Linked DNA regions of Bombyx mori. The protein of the gene in region 2 interacts with the protein of the main gene of each other region in a pairwise test. Links are inferred from orthologs where the notes say so. Each region holds a gene or a part of one and is shown on either strand. Other genes may lie near its edges.

Evidence for each region.
Region 1: the proteins of Ubx (region 2) and suppressor of hairless protein interact in a protein complementation assay, tested with the Drosophila melanogaster proteins (2 studies listed by BioGRID). The link is inferred for Bombyx mori from reciprocal best matches to the Drosophila melanogaster genes Ubx and Su(H).
Region 3: the proteins of Ubx (region 2) and uncharacterized protein LOC101741377 interact in a two-hybrid assay, tested with the Drosophila melanogaster proteins (2 studies listed by BioGRID). The link is inferred for Bombyx mori from reciprocal best matches to the Drosophila melanogaster genes Ubx and DIP1.

What each region holds. Positions count from the first base shown.
Region 1 is NC_085110.1:14,560,487-14,567,177, reverse strand, and holds the start of suppressor of hairless protein, read left to right. Parts: upstream 1-2,330; 5' UTR 2,331-2,522; coding exon 2,523-3,356; intron 3,357-3,570; coding exon 3,571-3,815; intron 3,816-4,941; coding exon 4,942-5,167; intron 5,168-6,158; coding exon 6,159-6,326; 3' UTR 6,327-6,691. Other genes in the region: DNA excision repair protein ERCC-5, read right to left, coding at 1-63, 219-411, 637-845, 1,235-1,410, 1,490-1,577. UniProt on the Drosophila melanogaster protein: Transcriptional regulator that plays a central role in Notch signaling, a signaling pathway involved in cell-cell communication that regulates a broad spectrum of cell-fate determinations.
Region 2 is NC_085112.1:6,102,298-6,108,988, forward strand, and holds the start of Ubx (ultrabithorax), read right to left. Parts: upstream 4,485-6,691; coding exon 4,022-4,484; intron 1-4,021. UniProt on the Drosophila melanogaster protein: Sequence-specific transcription factor which is part of a developmental regulatory system that provides cells with specific positional identities on the anterior-posterior axis. Binds the consensus region 5'-TTAAT[GT][GA]-3'.
Region 3 is NC_085114.1:16,022,221-16,028,911, forward strand, and holds the start of uncharacterized protein LOC101741377, read left to right. Parts: upstream 1-3,128; 5' UTR 3,129-3,272; coding exon 3,273-3,306; exon of another isoform or gene 3,307-3,339; coding exon 3,340-3,363; exon of another isoform or gene 3,364-3,367; intron 3,368-3,440; exon of another isoform or gene 3,441-3,692; intron 3,693-4,343; coding exon 4,344-4,402; intron 4,403-6,691. Other genes in the region: protein deltex, read right to left, coding at 194-336, 1,428-1,626.

The DNA.
Region 1 (6,691 bases), on a different chromosome or scaffold from region 2:
CATTTCTTTCTCAGTTTCTTCAAAACATTCCTGTAGTTTCCTTCGTTTTAACAATCTTTGCATCTAAGTGAAAGAAAAGAATCAAATATGTTAGTTATTGGGACAAAAAAGTAATTTAGAAAAAGTAGTAGTTTTTGTCTCATGTATGTTTCACACACATGAAAAATTCTTGCTTGAGGCCATTGAATGTAGAACTTTCTTTCAGCTACTTTACTTACCTGGAAATCAGAAAAACTGTCACTTTTCTTTGGTAATTCATGTAATCTTCCCCAAGAATTCATTTTTCTTGTTTCTTTTAACTCTACAAGTAGATCATACTTCTCTTTAAGAGGCATGTTTTTGAAATGTTCAGAGTTTAGATCCATTGAATGTAGATCAACAGAGGAGCCACTTGAACTTTCTTCCTCAGAACTACAATGTAAATTTTAATCATATAAGTATTATTAGTACTTAAAATTGAAACCTGAAAACACTGAAATGGAAATAATAAATTAGTGATAGAAATGATAGAGATATATCTAAGAAATTTGAAGAAAATCACAGTAATTTAATTTTTTTTTATAAAACATAAAAATTTTAAAAAATCATCAAAAATTTGAAATGTAACAATGTAATTGGTTATTTCATTTTACATACTCTGATTCACTCTCCTGGTTCTTCTTCGGGAGTTCTGGCAATTTGAATATATTATCTTCATTTTCAGTTTGAGCTACATTCTTTTTTGGTGAAATCTGCTTTCCAAGCAAACTGTTGATAGCAGTTTTTTTGCTTAAAAGAAGAGCTAATTCTCTCTTTATTCTTTCAGATTCTGAATTATATTTCGCCTTGTGATCTTGTCTTTTAGACTAAAAATAAATTATTTGATAATAGTTTAATGGTGGTTTAGTTAGAAAGTAAATTCTTTCTCAGCATTATTATTTTAACATGATAAAGGCTTATATTATAGAAGGATGCAATTGTTATTGATGCATTATTATTCAAATTTATGAAAATAGCTACTACTACTATATTACTATTCTCTGTCAACTGCCCTTAGTAAAAGTAGTAATATTAAGCTACACTTCCTACTTGTTTCTATTATAATTAAACAGATATATTTCAGGTCTACTTTTGCTAAAGGGATAAACAAGACAATACAGGAAAAAAGAAGTAAGCTACATGTACTGAAACACGTTTAAGCATCTTACTTCTGAGCAGTAATGTTATTCTAAAAAAAGCTTAAAACATAACTAACAATTGTTTCTTTCTTCAAGTCTGGAAAGCCACCATCAAAGACGAAAATTGGTTTTATCCTGAAGTAGAGAAGTTTGCAAAGCCGTTGGAACAAGCCCATCAAGTGAGCATTTGCTAAAGGGGCTCCTTTGGCATCTTGGTAACCTTTCACCATCTGGTGCAACCATATTGAGATGTCTGAGAAACATTAGTTCATACATTACAATTGTATTTTTAAATGCCATTATGTGTTTGTAATAATTTTATAAGGCCTTACCAACAGCTAAAACCTTATTTTCCAACGTTTCTACTGGAACTGGCTTTCCTGTCGGTTCAATCAACCGCCACAATCCAGTGACTCCCATCGTTACCGATAAGAGTAGCTCCGACCGAACTTTTTTTGTTTACACTAATGTATATAAATATAAATCAGAGTACATAACAAAGGTCGTTTCCCACGGGTTCTTCGGTCAATCGTCGCTCTCTTCCTCACACATTGTAACTTTTCAACATATGAATCACTGTTTACTACACACACTATCAAATGAAACTATAATTTGAGTTAGTGGAGACTGGGTGTTTTACTAGTTACTACACACGCTGCGACCGCCGACCGCCTACTCTTTCCCACACATTATTTTCTCACGCCCCACGCGGCGTAACCCCACATCCTACTACGACCGTCGGCGGCTTTCAGTCAGCTTCGTCAGTCGGTCTGCTTCGCATTCGAGGATTTCATTGTTGTTTCGCACGCGTAGATGTAAATTATTGGAAAGCAAATTGCTTGCACTTCAGATTGCTTAAACGGTGTCTATGTCAATCTATCTATGGTCAGATTTGACAGATTGGTATTTGGCGTTGTCGGACGTAAACTTGAGAAATAAACAGAAGTTTGATAAAATCGTACATTTATCAAGAAAGCGGAACAAACGAAAATTTAAGCAAATACAAAAGTTCGCTAACAGTTTATCAAATTCTTTTCCTAAACTTGGAACCGGTAAATTTAGTGACTCGTCTGAAAATTCCAATGTTGAACAGGTGTTTTTGAATGAAACGTGTGCTAGTTCCCACCGTAATTAATTTTTAGTGGCGTGAATAATATAACAGAAAAAGGGATCGAGCGACTTCCCAATCGATTTACAAAAGTGCCTCTAATCAAGCATCCAGTGCGACTGCTGTAGTGTGCTACAGATCCTCTGTTATGGAGATGTAATCATGGTGCCTTGGAGAAGAGATCACTCCACATAGTTTTTCGAACAATGCCGTTGAAGATATGAGGGTAGGCTGATGGTGATTTAGCCGTGGCTAGCATGCCGCACCAGTACGGCGGCGGCGCGGGCGGTGCGTCGCCGCCAGCGCCGGTGGGCGCGTACCCTCGCTACGCCAGCGCAGCTGGTCCTGGCGCTGGCGCCTATCGTCCCGAAGAACGACGTCTCACCCGTGAGGCCATGGAGAGATATTTACGTGATCGCTCTGATATGGTAGTTGTAATTTTACATGCAAAAGTAGCACAGAAATCTTATGGAAATGAAAAACGTTTTTTTTGCCCGCCTCCATGTATATACCTCTTTGGTGATGGATGGCGCCTCCGGCGAGAACGCATGCTAAGAGAGGGAGAAACGGAACAGGCAGCTCAACTGTGTGCATTCATTGGGATTGGTAATTCAGACCAAGACATGCAACAATTGGATCTCAACAATGGTAAACAGTATTGTGCTGCAAAAACCTTGTACATATCTGATTCAGATAAACGAAAACACTTTATGCTATCTGTAAAAATGTTCTATGGAAATGGACATGATATTGGTATATTCAACAGTAAAAGAATTAAAGTAATTTCAAAGCCTTCCAAAAAGAAGCAGTCATTAAAAAATGCTGACTTATGTATAGCTAGTGGAACAAAGGTAGCTCTATTTAACAGACTAAGGTCACAGACAGTGTCAACCAGATATTTGCATGTGGAAAATGGTAATTTTCATGCATCATCTACCCAATGGGGGGCATTTACTATTCATCTACTGGATGATAATGAGAGTGAGTCTGAAGAGTTTGCAGTGAGAGATGGATATGTTCACTATGGATCTACAGTAAAACTAGTCTGTTCTGTGACTGGTATGGCTTTACCAAGGCTTATTATTAGAAAGGTGATTAAAGTTATAGTTTACCTGAATATTTGACAGACTTGGATTTAGCTGCCTTTGATTTTATAGGCCTCAATTATTCATTATGTAGAATTTTCACATCATTAAGGCTAATCACATCAAGTTAAATTTAATTTTCATTTTAAGAATATAGATTTTAACATTTAATAAATAGATAAAAAACATTTATAAATATAATAGCATATTTGATTTTTAGGTAGATAAACAAATGGCTTTACTAGAGGCTGATGATCCAGTATCGCAGCTACACAAATGTGCTTTTTATATGAAGGATACGGAGAGAATGTATCTATGCCTATCCCAGGAACGAATTATACAGTTCCAGGCAACTCCATGCCCTAAAGAACCCAATAAGGAAATGATAAATGATGGAGCTTGCTGGACCATAATTTCGACTGATAAGGCTGAATACCAATTTTATGAAGGAATGGGACCCGTTAGGTAATATTCCAAAACTATTTGAAATAGAATAGTATTTCATAAAACTAAAATACTTAGTTAAACTATTTGTTTATTAAAGAAGGACATATTTATTAACAATAAAGTTTTTGTTACACCATATTTTTGATAAAACACTATTTTATTGTTAAAAAAATTATTGCCACATTGTCATGACCTTGTTCTATTTAAAAGTTTTCAAAATTTAATCTAGCTAAATCTAACATTTGTTCTCATTTCAAGAGTTAAGATGACTCTTACTAAAACAATAAAAAACACAATCATCCTCAACCTCATTCATGGGTCACAGACTCACCCTCCAAACTTATGTCCTAAAGTATTTTCAAAAATTAAACTATTCAAACTATAAATATGTTTGTATAACATGCTACTACTATATTTGTTTTTCTCATGCACTGTGGCAGTTATCAAATGACCAACAAACTATATTGATAAATATAAATGCTCTTTATTGCTGGAACTTAATGTAAACATTTGATTCGAATATCAATACTGTTTTGTATTCATTAGGTTATTGATGCAATGCATTAGGTTGAAATGCAAGGAGTTTCCAATTATAAAAATATTTTTTTTAAATGATAACTATTTACTATACTATATGTAACTATACTTGAGACCTTAGAACTTATATCTCAAGGTGTGTGGTGCATTTACGTTGTAGATGTCTATGGGCTCCAGTATCCACTTAACACCAGGTGGGCTGTGAGCTCGTCCACACATACAGGCAATAAAAAAAAATAAAAAAAATGCCTTACTAAAACATTTTTATAAAAGCCAAAGATAATAAATGTTCTAAAAAAAATCCCTTTTTTATAAATACATATGTACATACAGACTTTCATTCGTTACATTTTATCAACTTCAATGAAAAAAAAATACATATACAAAAAATTATTTATTGGCTTTTAAAGGCTTATTTTATTTATCCAAATAATTATTGAAAAATCTGAGTAGTGTATGTTAAAAAAAAACGAATTTTTGTCTTTGTGAAAGCATAGTTAGGTATAGGTTAGGCATAGGTTTCTCTATAAAAAAGGATATAACTAGGACACACCTAAACTATGTATTTAACTTTCTATTTAAACTTACTAATATTCTTGCCTCATAGGTCACCAGTAACACCGGTACCCTTGGTGCACTCATTAAATCTCAACGGGGGTGGCGATGTTGCCATGTTAGAATTGGCTGGAGATAATTTCACACCTTCCCTACAAGTGTGGTTTGGTGATGTTGAAGCGGAAACAATGTACAGATGTGCTGAGTCCATGCTGTGCGTAGTTCCAGATATATCACAATTCAGAGGGCAGTGGCTGTGGGTCCGGCAGCCTACGCAGGTAGGTTTAAATGTAACTCAAAAATATTTCATGCATATGCTTTATCGTTTTTCTGTTATCTAACGTTGACTTGTGTGGTTCACAATAAAATTTCTTATTAATTTTAAACGATTTTATATTAATAATTGCAACAAATTTCAAATAATACAAACAAGAACATTAAAAAAAATTGTTTTTTCTCTGGGTATTTCTGAACACGTTTTTAACAACGCACACTGTGTTCAATGATTATCTAGATGCTTATTCTTATTTTTTGAAACAATTTGAATATAGATTTTTATTTATGTAGACGAAAAAAGACAAATCTTCCACCAAACCTACTTGTTAAAGCAAGCACACATCAGAACTATTTTGTGTTAAGTTAAAAGATAATTAGAGGAATAGAGACATAAAAACTATTTAAGGAATTGTATTTTCTTTGGTTTATTGACATAGTTAAAACTGCCTATATGGACCATCGGACGTGACCATATAAACTGTAAATTGTTTCAAACGTCGGAAATAATGTAACGATAACAATAGACGGGAGATTAAACCGCAAAAGTAGTTTGAATTATATTAGAGACTAGCGACCCGCCCTCGCTTCGCTTCGGAAACATTAAATTTTATTATTGATAGAAGAGTCCCGCCATGTTGCGCGCGGTACGACAATAACTGCGGGTGACCCCGCGAGGCGAAGCTAGTCTAAAAAAGTACCCTAAGTTACTTCTTATATCATTAGCTACCTATTAGTGAAAGTCTCATCAAAATCGGTCCAGCCGTTCCAGAGATTAGCCGGAACAAACAGACAGACAGACAAAAATTGTAAAAATTGACATTTTGGTGTATGTACCGTATATATATATATTCATATGCATGTAGTAAAAAGCGGTTATTTTAGTATTACAAACAGACACTCTAATTTTATTTATATGTATAGATTTGTTGCATTTCGGTTTTGAAGGCTGGGAAGTAAATGATCGCTTAGCATATAGTTCGCCTTTAATTCCAGGTTCCTGTATCATTAGTTCGCAACGACGGTATAATATACGCAACGGGGTTGACGTTCACGTACACGCCGGAGCCGGCGCCGCGGCCGGTGTGCCCGCCGGTCGATGACGTCATGCGGCCGGACTCCGCCTGGCACGATCACCGCCTGCCGGACAACACGCTGCAATAGCACAACTCCTGCAGGCTGCTCCAGTCTGCAGTGATACCCAAAGACTATAGTCCGACTAGGTGAGTCAGATCCTAGTACGCGTCATCAGTGCCTCTTTTCTATCGTACGATCCAGTGTGCTTGGCGCGAGTTTTTTAACGTTCTCGATAGCGTAAAAGTTAACTCAACTTAGTATGCAGTTGTTACAGCACCTCTAGCGACAAACGTAGGCCCTACGTTCTAATTCCATACAAATTTGACTTAACTTTTTCGCTATCGAGAACGTTAAAAAACTCACATTAAGCACACTGAGGTCTTCATTGTTTTCGTACGAATATCAAAAAGATTTTGGTTTGTGTGATTATATGAAGTTTTTTTTTTTCTTTT
Region 2 (6,691 bases):
AAAATGAAACGTACATATTACGTAACGCACGCAATTACCGCTGTACACATTGAGCGTTCGATAAATGAAATTTTTATTCTTCTAATTCTTGAACTTTAATGGAATTAATATCTCTGCCTATACGCACATTGATATATTTAGGTATCAACGGATCGGCAGCCTTGAGCAGACGGAGTAACACCGTCAACAGTGATTTCTTCTTGTAATCGGCGAGTTTTGAATTCCGAATGAGTTTCATATTCAATTATAATGACAGGTACATGACTGCTTTGAAATTATAGGGCCAAGTTGATACGTTCAACCCGACTAAACGCATTGCGAGATAACGATACGAAATAAGAGTGAGGGAATTTTTTTTATACTGTAGAGTTCCGTATCTTTTTTGGAACGCACAATCATAGTTCATTATTGTTAAGATTGGCTGTAATTAATTCAATTTGAATTTTATTCTATGATGTGACTACCACTTTCTTTTGGTTTGCACAATATTTTTATTCCTTTTCGGATCACAGCCTCTTGAAATATGAGCCATAATTGCCGTTTAACTTAACAAAAAGGATACTATAAAATATAATTTCCAATCGCTTACGTGCACTGTATATTTAAAAGAGTTGTAAACTTGAATTTCATGTTTGAAGTTCATACTTAAGATTATAGTATTCAAACAACAAAAAAAAGGAAATGGCGTACAGAGATCCGGAAATTCACGGAAAAACTAGTGTTTAGCGAAAACGGAAGCTTCAAGACTGCACAAAGATACATCCTATCTTATAGCGTGAAACCAAAGTATTTTATACGGAATGTCCAACCTTAAAACTGAAACGCATGAGTGCTTCTTGGCAGAAACAGAAAGAACATTGATACCCGCTTGTGTGGTTTAGTATGCTATGCCACGATTACCTGACCCCTATTTTTATTGCAAAGAGTATGTAGTTTAGTTTGTAGCCCATATCGCATTAAATGATTACCAAAATCCATAGAAATCACAACCTGAACGCCAACACCTACCTTGAGGTATGAGGTTGAAATCTCCTTTGTATTATACAACCTCACCCTTCAAATCAGAATGCCTGACTATTACGCTCGATAGTACAGTACCGTCTAGTTCCTCTTGGTTCCTAATTTATACCAAAAGTACCAAAGACAGAAATTACGTGGATAGTTAAATAGGAAAATAAAATATAAATATACCACTGATTAACTAGATTTATACAGTCCCGCAAAATTATAATTTGCGTAATTACTGGTGGTAGGACCTCTTGTGAGTCCGCACGGGTAGGTACCACCGCCCCTCCTATTTCTGCCGTGAAGCAGTAATGCGTTTCGGTTTGAAGGGTGGGGCAGCCGTTGTGACTATACTGAGACCTTAGAACTATATCTCAAGGTGTGTGGCGCATTTACGTTGTAGATTTCTATGGGCTCCAGTAACCACTTAACACCAGGTGGGCTGTGAGCTCGTCCACACATATAAGCAATAAAAAAAAAGTTACAAGATAGCATGTACTCATAGCTATTGAAAGAGTTTTTTTTTACATTGTCCTACTGATTTCTCTATATGTGGGTTAAATATGTACTAGGAATTTTGACAGTATTTCTGTTTTTGTACAGTAATAAGGTAAAATAATCTGCTATATGTAATTGATATTTTTCAATATCAAGTTTTGAAGAATCGGAATGTGTAAAAGCCTCTACAGAACGAATGTGCACCAAGTAAGAAGAGAAAGATTCAAGTCGCTGTTTGAAGGGTCATAATAATTGTCGTATGATTGAAAATGAAAATTATTCCACCAAATAATTTTTCTTGTTTTTATTTTGTTCCATTTAAAAACCGCTTGTAACAAATTTAAAAAAAAGAAGTCCACGGCCCTGTAATTTAAGTCCTCAATTATATAGCAGTAAGATCGGGAGCATGTGATTGCAATTTCGAGCTTCAACTTATACCGTATTTATCGTTTGCTTCACTAAATTAGTTACATTTACAGCTCCACAATTTTTTTTTCTTTCTATATTTATAGGAATTTATACCAAATTACCTATGTTTTAGGTATTTATACCAAAAAAGGTTTACTTTACAGGTATTACAAATTAGCAAACTGTCCAAATGAACAGCAGGGACCGTTCATGGACAAGCCCGAACTTTTCATACATGCCACGTCCAACAAGCGTCCTTGTATTGTTTCGCGGCCTGTGTTGCGTGAACCCACAGTGAATTATAGCCGACGGTTCGACTTCTCATTTTATTTTGTTATTTTTTAGGCCCTGTTACTTAATTTTTATCAAGTCGCATGAATTATGACGAGGCGGGACCACACGCGTAGCATTAATTACTCGTCGCCGGCCCAGGTGAACTAATCGATTCAATCGAAATTCGAATAGGACTTCTTTTCCAGAAAAACTACTACGAATGAGAGAGAATCGATTCTTATAAGACTTAAATTCTAATCTATACCAACTAATATGCCGTATTAGATATTTTGTAAAACATTTTTAAAGCGTTATTTTATCTTTTAAGTGCATGAATTGAATGTTTACCGAAACGTATGTTTGAAGATTGAAGCGCTCTTAATGGGATGGTCATTTGTCGAATGGTCAGTGGCAGTAAGTTAATAATAATGCGCCCAAAACTAGACCGGGCCATTGACCCGGGCGGGCGGCGCGGGCGCACCTCTCCTGCCTCGTTGGGCCACTAAAATAGCGCTTTTTGCTTTACTTTATGCCTACACAATCAATTTTGAACCTGAAAAATTTCATCTTAAAGTATGTGTTAAGTATTGAAGGATTGTTAAACGTTTTATTTATTTTTAGATAGTAATAAAATAAATATACAACTTTTAATAATAAATAACTTTTATTTTATTTTATTTCTTAGCTTTATTAATGTATTTATAAAATTAATTTAAATTGTTATGGGTCAGAAAAGAGAACACAAGTAAATATCGACAACATATTTGTCTCTTTATTTTACATTCTCTCGAAATATTTTAGTGTTTTGTCGTCCGGTAAAAAAAGTAGGTATAATATGTTCTGCTAAATCTCCGTATAGTCCAGTCCAAGATTAAATCGTATTTTAATTCACAAACCTTGTTAGTTTTGTTCCAAAAAAAATTTTAAGACACGAGAACTTTATTTCAAATAATCCAGTTCCATAGCTCTATAATTTATATACCAGTTCCGTTGCTACGAACCATCAACATTCAGGAAGTCTACACCAAAGATTTTATGATCAAATCACTGATATCAATTTATCGTTACAAATTAGTAATTTGGAGGATCCTGAGTTTTGTCCGCAATAAAATTATTAATGGTACTCAAATCTGTCTCACTAATAAGGTGTTAACGAGGGTCGTTCGTTTTATGTGCTTTTTATTGACACTTGATTTGTCGGCTACCTGCCGGTTAGTATTGGACTCTTAGGAAACATTAATGGACGATTCTGAAGTGGCCCGATTATGTGTGCCAAACAGGATGGCAGCATTTTAGTGATTTTTACGGGGTATCGGACGTGACATATTTTTGTTACGCCTCTCATTTCCACTTATGTATATTAAATGTTGACGAGTTTTTTATGGGAAACGCAATATATTTTTAAATATAGAATCATAAATTTCAGTGATATTTGTAAACAAATATGTAATATACAATATTAATAGGTAGAGACTTCGGCAATTAATTTTATCAAAAAAAAAACTGCACCTACGATCGCAATAATACACTTCAATCGAATATGCAATTTCGAAAAGGGCACATGTCGCATATTTTGTCAAATACGTTTTTTCATATACATGTAGTTTTGAGGCTTACCTACACCCATTTTATAATAATTCCCGTAATTTTCAATTGCTAATTAACACTTAAAATATATTTCAAAAGTTAATATTTTAAATTTTACACTGCTTTAGAAAATAATCAGTTTTTTTTCATTTCCTGAACATTTTACATTTTCAGAGGTGTGCCCTTTTCGAAATTGCATATTCAATTTATATAGAGTTGTGATCGAGATAATTTTTTTTAACTTACTAACCTGCTATGGCCATCCAAGGGTAGAAAGTGTGGTTAGTAGGCTGCTGGTGCACTGGCTGCGCGGCTGATGCTGCTGATCCCGGAAGTGCACACTGGTTGCCCCACGGAAGCGCTCTACCAGGACTTGACGACTCACTGTATCGAGCTTCAGGAGTGCATGCTGCCGGCCTCACTAGTGCTCCCAGACCTGAGCCCCAGGCTTCTTTCCCACCATAGCCATTCTGCTGCTCACCGCCTGGCTTTGAACAATCTGCTTTAGGATATTGCTGCTCTCCAGCATAGAGCTTGCAGGCCGCCGCGACAGACGCGTCGTACGGTGAATCCTGAGGACGAGGCTGGTGCAAAGCGTGTGGCTGTGCATACGTGAGGCCCAGAGGGAAGCCGCGGTACTGGTCTCCACCACCGCCGCCCTGGTGCACTCCATGGGCCCCGTAAAAACCACCCTGCTCGAAGTAAGAGTTCATCGTGACCAGTCACAGGCACTAACGTCACTCAGGGAACACTTATGTCATCGCGGCCCCGCGCGCCGTGATAACGCGACCTCCGCCAATGTCACACCAAATACGGACAACGTAATTTATTTTTATTAATTTTATTGCCTCTTAAACGTCACTAAAGCGTCATAATGGGCTTCGTCGGCGATAAAGGCCAGTTGACGTGTGTTTACTTTTTACGATTATTTTACGACTCGGGAGCGCGTGCCGCGGGTTTTACGACTTTTTAAGCGGTTTCGTCTGCGGCGCCGGCTCGTCTCAGGACGTCAGCCGAGAGCGCGTCTCCACTGTATGAAATCAGAAGTGATCGTGGTGGTGTATGGGCCGGAGGCTTGTGTCGCGAGCGAAGTTTTCCGTCGCGTGTGGCGGGAGCGCGCGGCTGTGTGTCGTGTGCGACCGGCGCGACGCGGCTCACGCAATGTACTGAGCGCGGCTGAGACACGCGCGCCGCCCCGCGCTCACTGCTACCATCGCAGCCCAACGACTATTGTTCCGTCCCCTTTTCGCTAATCACTATAAATATTATCAGTTACGCTCTCTTTTCCTTTCCTTATCACACCCACTCGAGCACGTGGCGAACGTTCGTCAAACAAACTAGAACTTTAGCTGCTCTACTTCAGAATACCTAGGTTAATAACTGACATTTATATGACTTAAGAGAGAACTCAATAACATCAAATCCTATTATAAACTATATGTTTTCTTTTAACAATTTATGTATCTTCGGACGACCGCGTAACAAAACTTTTGAAGAGCCTCAACAAAAGCCTCAAAAATGAATAGAACGAAAAAGTTAAGCCGCAAAAGTCGTAAACTCATAAACGTACAATTAGTGAAACGGGCGAGTAAAGAAAAGATTTTACAGCCACTCGTCGACCGTGCCACAATGAGCGTTCAGTATCGTAACAAGGTGCTGAATAGAGTGAGAAGTCGTAAAGATGATTATTATTTCTTCTACTACCTGTTTTTACGAGTGATGTTTCTATTGCTCTCTTGCTTAAGGCGCCCGTTCGAGAGCGAAAGGGACAGCGCGTCGAGCGCGGAACGGTTATCATCCGAGCGGGGCTGATTAGTGTATAGCGGTCTTGGTCTCGCGCTGTGTAGCGCATGCAGTGGACAACGCACTATCGGAGGGTAAACAATAGCGCATTATCGCGAGTTCACTTCGCGCGACCAAATGAAGTCGTCAAACGAATGAATGGTGCGCCCTACCCTTAAGAATTGAACGCATTTTTATTGCGCCTTCGTATGTAAATATTTCCTTTAGATCCGGGTATTGAGACGTTTTTTTATTTATTTATTAAAAATGATATATGTAAAATGACAAGTTTAACACTTTTATTTTAATTAATAGATAATGGTGGTTTACGTTTCATGAATTAAATATACTTAAATTTTTTATGATTTTTTAAAACTTACCTTATTTCAGGTTTTCGTTAACTTGCAAAATAACTTATTGAACCAGAACCAAATCACGACACCAAACTAGAAATTAAGAAAAATATTAATAAATTAGAATTGAATTATATATTAATGGAACAACACAAGATTGCCCATGGGTACCTACATCCAAAACTCGCATAACACAAAACGATTGTGACAAGTGTTTTAAAAGCATAAATGATAATTATCTATTTATATTATTAACTTATCGTATTATAAATTGGCAGACACGTTCACTTTGCATTGCTCATTGGAGCCCATGGTCATCACAGCACGAAAGCGGTCATTCACCTTGAGATCGGTGTCTCAACTATATTGTATAATAACAGCAATTTTAAATCAAACCAAAGCGCAGGACTTGATAGACTTGCGCTACGTACCTGTGTGGGCTCACTAGGCTCTACAATTCGTGAAGATTATTAAAATATTACTTGAACTCTTATATTTACGTTAAAGACGAATAAACTAGTACCTACTGAATCTTTAAGACACAACTCTGTACTAGTTTATTTGAGATACGTCTAAAACTTCAGGAAGAGAAGAGAGCATATACATAGCTCTAGTTTGAAGGCTTCCAATGCAGTAAGAAATTAATTAGTTTTTTTATCGCACAAACCCGTGAACGAGCTTATGGTCCATCTGGTAGTAATTGGTACAATGGCACCATCCACCTTGACACATACGGTGTAAATTTCTACTGTACTGTTTCGCAGCCAAAATACGCAAGTTATTAT
Region 3 (6,691 bases), on a different chromosome or scaffold from region 2:
TTTTCTTATCATTTTCTGTAGGATGGTAGAGATTATAATTCATAGACACAGCCCACTGAGCTGGCTATCTCAAACGACTAAACTAAGAAATAAGAACTCTTCTTACCAATTAGTGAGCGCTTCAGGGATTATTAATTGAATTAGTTTTTGTTGTTTTATATCAATAGATAATTGGAAATTTGTTTATATTTACATCAAGCGGCAGAGGGTCATAGAGTAGCTCTCCAGCGCCAGGAGGAGGCATAAACCGAGCCCATTCCCAGCACCAGCCCCGTCCGGCTACGGACTGCACACTGTAGCATGATCTACGCACACCACACTCTAATATTCCACCATCTATAATCAAAATGTTTTCTTTAAATACAAATTATAAATTGGGCTATTCAGGTTGTCATTTGGGATAGCTCAGTGACCAATTAAGTCCCAATCACTGGACTAATTTCTACAATCCTTAATGACCGGTAATTTTTCATTTACACAAGTAGTAGTAAGTAAGTTCCGGTAGTTTTCACAAGTTCTAGACCTTATAAAAATGACTTTTACGATTTAATCTCACATTTATTATTTTAATTTTATTGTTTTCAACATTTTGAATAATTTAAGTAGTTTAGTAGTTAAGTAGTTATCATGGATATCAAAACTTGAATAAAACAACCAACTATTGTTTCCTAACTATCATTTGACGCAATGTACGTATCTACTCCAACTGGGGTTTGATTTCTACTAAATAAATAAGTACCACGACAGACGGAAGTGTGTGCTTGTGTCACATATGCTATGTTTCTTGTAACTTCTGAAAGCATTCGAAAGTTGTTGAAATTATTAAATTAAATAGATTTTTAGCATTTCATGAGTACATCTTGGTTTACAGGCATAAATATTTGTAAATTAAAAGTTAGTGACCTTGACCTAGAAGATACAGATTGTTTATCAAATAGGGCCTAATAAAAACCACGAGGACAGTACCTATTTGGTAGAGAAAAATATTTTAATATGTTTACTTCTGACAGAAATTCACATCTTTTGATATGTAATCAGCCTTATTATTTAATAGAATTCATATTACAGTCCCTTCTCTAAAATATAATTAAAGGGTCTCCAGGTAATTTCTTTTTTCTTAATGTTTAAGTGCTTTTTATTCCAAAAATATTTACTTGAAAACATATTTTTATATCAAAATGGTTATTCTAATTGAACGCTAACTAAAATTTTCAGCTTAATATAACCTTAATAGCACCTGTATAAGTGTATGCATGGCATACTCCTATAAATAATTTGTTATTAATCGGTACTCATGGCTAGAAGTTTAATTGTACTGTTATTATGTTATGTTATTAGTGTTTTGGGTGTTTAGCAGAGTCAGTCACAGTAAAGGAATAAATAATATAATAGCAATTGAACTCAGGTTTATGTAAATGTGTAATTACCAGGCGTCTCATTACTCTGTGTCAGGGTCAGCAAGTTAACATAATATCCCTTCAATGCTGGATCAGCATCAGCCAATACCACCCTGGTTAACTTCTTAGCATGAGCCCTTTCTAGGGTCCTTGTAACACTTGGCGTGTGTGGTAACCATTGACCATTTGACTGCCACTCCCATACTACAACGCAGTGGACTGAAGACATTGTTCATTCCATGTTGACTAGAAATCCAAAAAAATAATTTTATAAAACTGAACCAAAAGCAAAATCAATGTATATAATTAAATATAATTGTTAAATATAAAAACCCCATTCCAATCAATTAACAATTTAACATACAAATATTGATTAGTTATGAATATAGTTAGCTGATTACTGTCATTAGATCAAACAAGTTTCGTACCTAAGAAGGAAACAGTATCATATGTACTATATGAGTCGACTATTATCAAAGGTGGCAATCTGACTTTTGGACAATGATTGGTAAATCAGAAAAACGAATTATTGACTTTGTATTCCATTGGCAGTCACAAAACTCTTCGGAACGACATCTTAGATAAATAACAGGTTAACTATTAACCTTTATTTAATGCAGGTTTTGAACCGTATTCTTTGAAGGAGACGATTATATTCAAATAAATCTGTATTGACATATCAATAAAAATTTTTTGTCCAAATGTACAGATTGCCGCCTTTGATAATAGACGACTCATATAGTCTTTTAAATATTTTAAATGATACAATAAAATAGTCAAAATGGCATGTTAATACCATGAGTGCATATGAAGACACTACTAGAGAAGTTAAAGTTCTGGAATGATATTCCTTCATTAAGAAGTTGTTCGTGAACATGCATTAAGTATTTCCTTATAATAATTGGTACTGGTGTAAAAATACATTAGGCAGTTCATTTATTACGCGACGAAGACTTCATGTATGCAGTTGGATTATTTATTGTATTCCAATAAATTTTGCTTTAAAATTATGTTGATAAACAATTTAATACACTTTCTTACTGAAAAATATTACAATATTTTATACTTACAGGTCCAGTTCCACATTTGAAAATTATGATCTCAATAGAGCAATAAATTCAAAATTAAGATAACGAAGAAAGCTACAGGAATGCTAAACCAATTTGTTTGTTTGTTTCACAATCGCTACTGGTCATTTTCTATTCATATTTCTCAAACATACCCAAATTCATTTACATCAAAATTGCTTTTAAAGTGATACTAAATGTTGAATTGAGTGTACTATTTCCTGAATTAAGTAACATTTTTGTTCTAAGTCACTAATTTTAAAGATTAAATAAAATCGTTGCAATTCTGTACCTATGTACCAGTTTCAACATAGCTTCATAGCCCTGACGCTGTCGAATACTGTCAATGATTTGACAGTCTTGTATATTTCAAAAGCCGAAGGAGTATTCGTGCTAGCGTTAGTGTTAATGTCCGAGATTCTCTCGAGCCCGTGAGTGTGCTCAACCTATCCCTATTCCAATAACCTATGGCTATTCCAATAACGTTATGACGATTGGTGAGCCCCGTTGGCCTACCCAAAGCTGTTGAAAGCCCACGGTTTTTTCATACCTAATTGCTTAGGTAGGGAAAAAAGTCTGAAAACGAAAATAGTAAATTGAAGTTGTCACAGCCAGAGTCTTGACCGTATGAGCGAAGTTTCTTTTGCATCTTTAATTGAACCACCAAATTAAAATAAAGCATCGATCAATTTTAATCAAATATGTGCAGAATCTGCAGAATCCAAGTCACATTTTAATGTTTTAAAAAGTACCTGCATCGAAGTTCGTTCGTACCTGCATCGAATTGCAGATACACAAACATTGATACATGCATACTATTGAAAAAAAATCACACATATCTCGCAATGAAGTAGGAAACCTAATAGGTCTATGATATCTCGTTATGGCGTTTTTACAACGTAAGTAGGTAGATCAGATATTTTTGTTGACAGTATGAATAACACATTTCATTTTAAATCGTACACAGCTATTAAGACGAAATTACAATTGACAAAATGACATTATGATAACAACATACTTTATCTCATTACATTGAGTAATTTACGTGAACTTAACTTTCTAATTAATCATTTACTCATCGATAATTTACTGGTCCTTTGTACATTAGTGTCCAACGCGAATTAATGCGATATTTATGACCAGAACGAGTGGCGTGAGACGAGCTTCCGAAGCTTTATGAAACCGCTCGAAACTTATGATTGATTCCATTCGAGTGAGCTGCTTAGAGGTTACCAAATAGTGATCAAATCTCTTGTCTGTAAATTACTTTGATGATCATCCAAACTAACAATGGACCACTATAAAATGAAAAATGAGAAATATAATGATCTTAAGGTCTACTTGTCACACTTGATGCTTTTCATTTCTTTTAAGTAACACTGATTTGCAAAATGTTGTATAATAGGACAACAAAATGTTGTACAAATATTAAATCTGGTCATTAAATGGATTGTTCAAACTGAGTGATATAAAATTATGAATACCATTGTTGACATTATGTTTGTTGGAAAAGTCATATTATTAACAATGTATAATAATATAATATAATAATATAGGTGTTACTTGCCTGGAGATATGTCAAAAAATGTGTTGTTTACATGAGCACCAGGCTCATCACAAACCAGGAGAAGTGGGGATTGCTCATGAGGTGCATAACATCTGCTCACAGCAATGATACTGAATGACTATCACAACTGCTCTGACAAGAGTGATATGACAAGGAATAGGAATACATTACATAATGTGAAAAAGTCTACACAATTAATTTTAAGAATTGATTATAAATGTTAAAAAAACACAAAAACTAAGAACTACAGTGTAAAATTACCTATTTATATATCCTTAAAAAATGTGTTGAATTTTCTATTTATTTCTACAGACAAGGGTCGGGCCGCCAATCATTTCAACCTCGAGATGGATTCTGCAGTATCTGATGAGGTAAATCTAGAAAATATGACTCAGAATATTAGATCTCATAATTTATGTTATTGCTTACGGTGCAAAATAAGAGCTATGTTAGAAGCTATAGTATTGTCTAGGACACCACCAGAGTATTATTACCTTACCTTATAGTTACTTTCATAATGAAATAACTATCAATGAAAAAATGAAAAAGTCTTGACAAGAAGCAGGAAAGAATAATGAAAGTTTGTGATTACATACTGTGAAAGAAGTTTGAATCATTGTTAATAAGAATTAAACTTTTTTTTTTGGTTTCATACTGATATCCAGAGATTATTATCAGTGATGTGTATAGGTTACCTGTAACATATAATCATAGAATGTATGATGTATGATGATGAAAATTGGCAAGTCATAACAATTTAAACTTTACTTGCAACCACTCCAACAAAATGACACATATTTAATATAAGTTTTGCCAAATTTCATCTGGAAATTAGTGAACGATATAAATAGGCTTGTATAGGAGTAAACAAAGAAGGGTTAAAACACTTCTTTGTTTGAAAAAAATCTATATTTTTTTTCATGTCTTTTTATGATCAAGTAAGTTAATTATAACAAGATGCTATCATAGGTCAATTAAAATTAAAATAATTTGAAAAATATAATGCTTTACATTACAAAAGAAAATATTTTTTATTAAAAATAAAATGTTGACTAAGGGACATTTTTTAAATGTTCGTATTAATCATTTAACATATATACATATTACAGTAATACCCATCTAAAACCCTTTTTCTCTATATATTATATACTACATAAGATTTTGAACAAAAACAATGCTAAACATTAAGTGACAAAATAATTTATTACTACAGCTTCATGTGTGGTGAGTTCTACTGAAGATATGAAGGCAATGGTTGCTCTCTGATTGTGCGGGGGTTAATTGTACAACATGTTGTTAATAATGTACATATTATGTACTTGTTAACGACATGGCTGAACTGGACAGTTGTGTTATTGCTTCAGTAAAATTAAGAATTTATTTCAGTACACAGTAGCAGTTTGAAGCATTTTTACATAGCGGTTGTGTATGTCATAATGCGTATATCAACCCGAAACTTGACTATCTTCTATCTTCTTCTTCTATCTATATGATATGAAGATCATATGAGGCCTATAAAATCAAAGGCAGCTAAACGCCTTAATTTCGTAAAATTGATTAACAATAGCGCTATCTTGCTTAGTTAGTTGGACACGCTTTAGTGTTTTCATGTTATAACAAATGCAGCTAAATCTCTAACAAATTCAGTTCAAAAAATTTATTTTTACTCCGTACTAAGTACTAATAAACGAAGATTTATCATTTAAAATTCAGATTATTAGTAATATTCTCATTCTTTATACATCTGCTTTAAAATAAAGAATATCGTAGCTATCCGAACACAGTTATTTCAGCTTCTCAAACCGGGAGTGTTTCTAACACTTGTCCTAGCAAGAGCAGTACTTCGATGGATCGGGAGGATCCGTAAAGACGTGTTTAGGGCTGATTTTTGTAGTTTACCTGAATATTTGACAGACTTGGATTTAGCTGCCTTTGATTTTATAGGCCTCATATAAAAAGGAATTGGTGTTCGTTAGTCTCGCTAAAACTCGAGAACGGCTGGACCGATTTGGCTAATTTTGGTCTTGAATTATTTGTGGAAGTCCAGAGAAGGTTATAGGTGGATAACAAGGAAAATGCTCAGAATTAAATAAAAATAATAATTTTGATTTCCCCTTCCTTTTGTTTGTTTTAAGTTTATTTTATACAAAAGTTTAGGTCTTTTATTTATCGATTGAGGCACTACGAAGTCTGCCGGGTCAGCTATCAATAATATATATCACGTTAAAATGTAAAAAAAACTTAGTTATAATTAATAAATGCTACAACGGAACTTCATACAAAAACTAATATATTTATTGTTTCAACTGTTTGATGACAGCCCTAAATATAAGCAATAAAAGTACCGTTAGGCCGTTCATTCAGCTCAATGCCTCAGAACGAGGACAAATTCGTTTAACACATAAGAAACAACGAATACGAAAAAAAAAAAGTGTGGTGTCGTGGGACACCGGATAGGAACGAAGTTCCTTATTATAAAAATATTAATTTTAAATACAATTAGAGGTACAAAGAAAATAAAACTGGAGGTTTCGCAACAACCCATGGGTCATTCGGTAGCGTGCGAACTTTTTGTGGTACACTTCATTCACGGTTGTTTGCATAAGAGTTAGTGTATTGCACAAACGAACGCTCTGAGATCGTGGTCAATGAATGAAAAA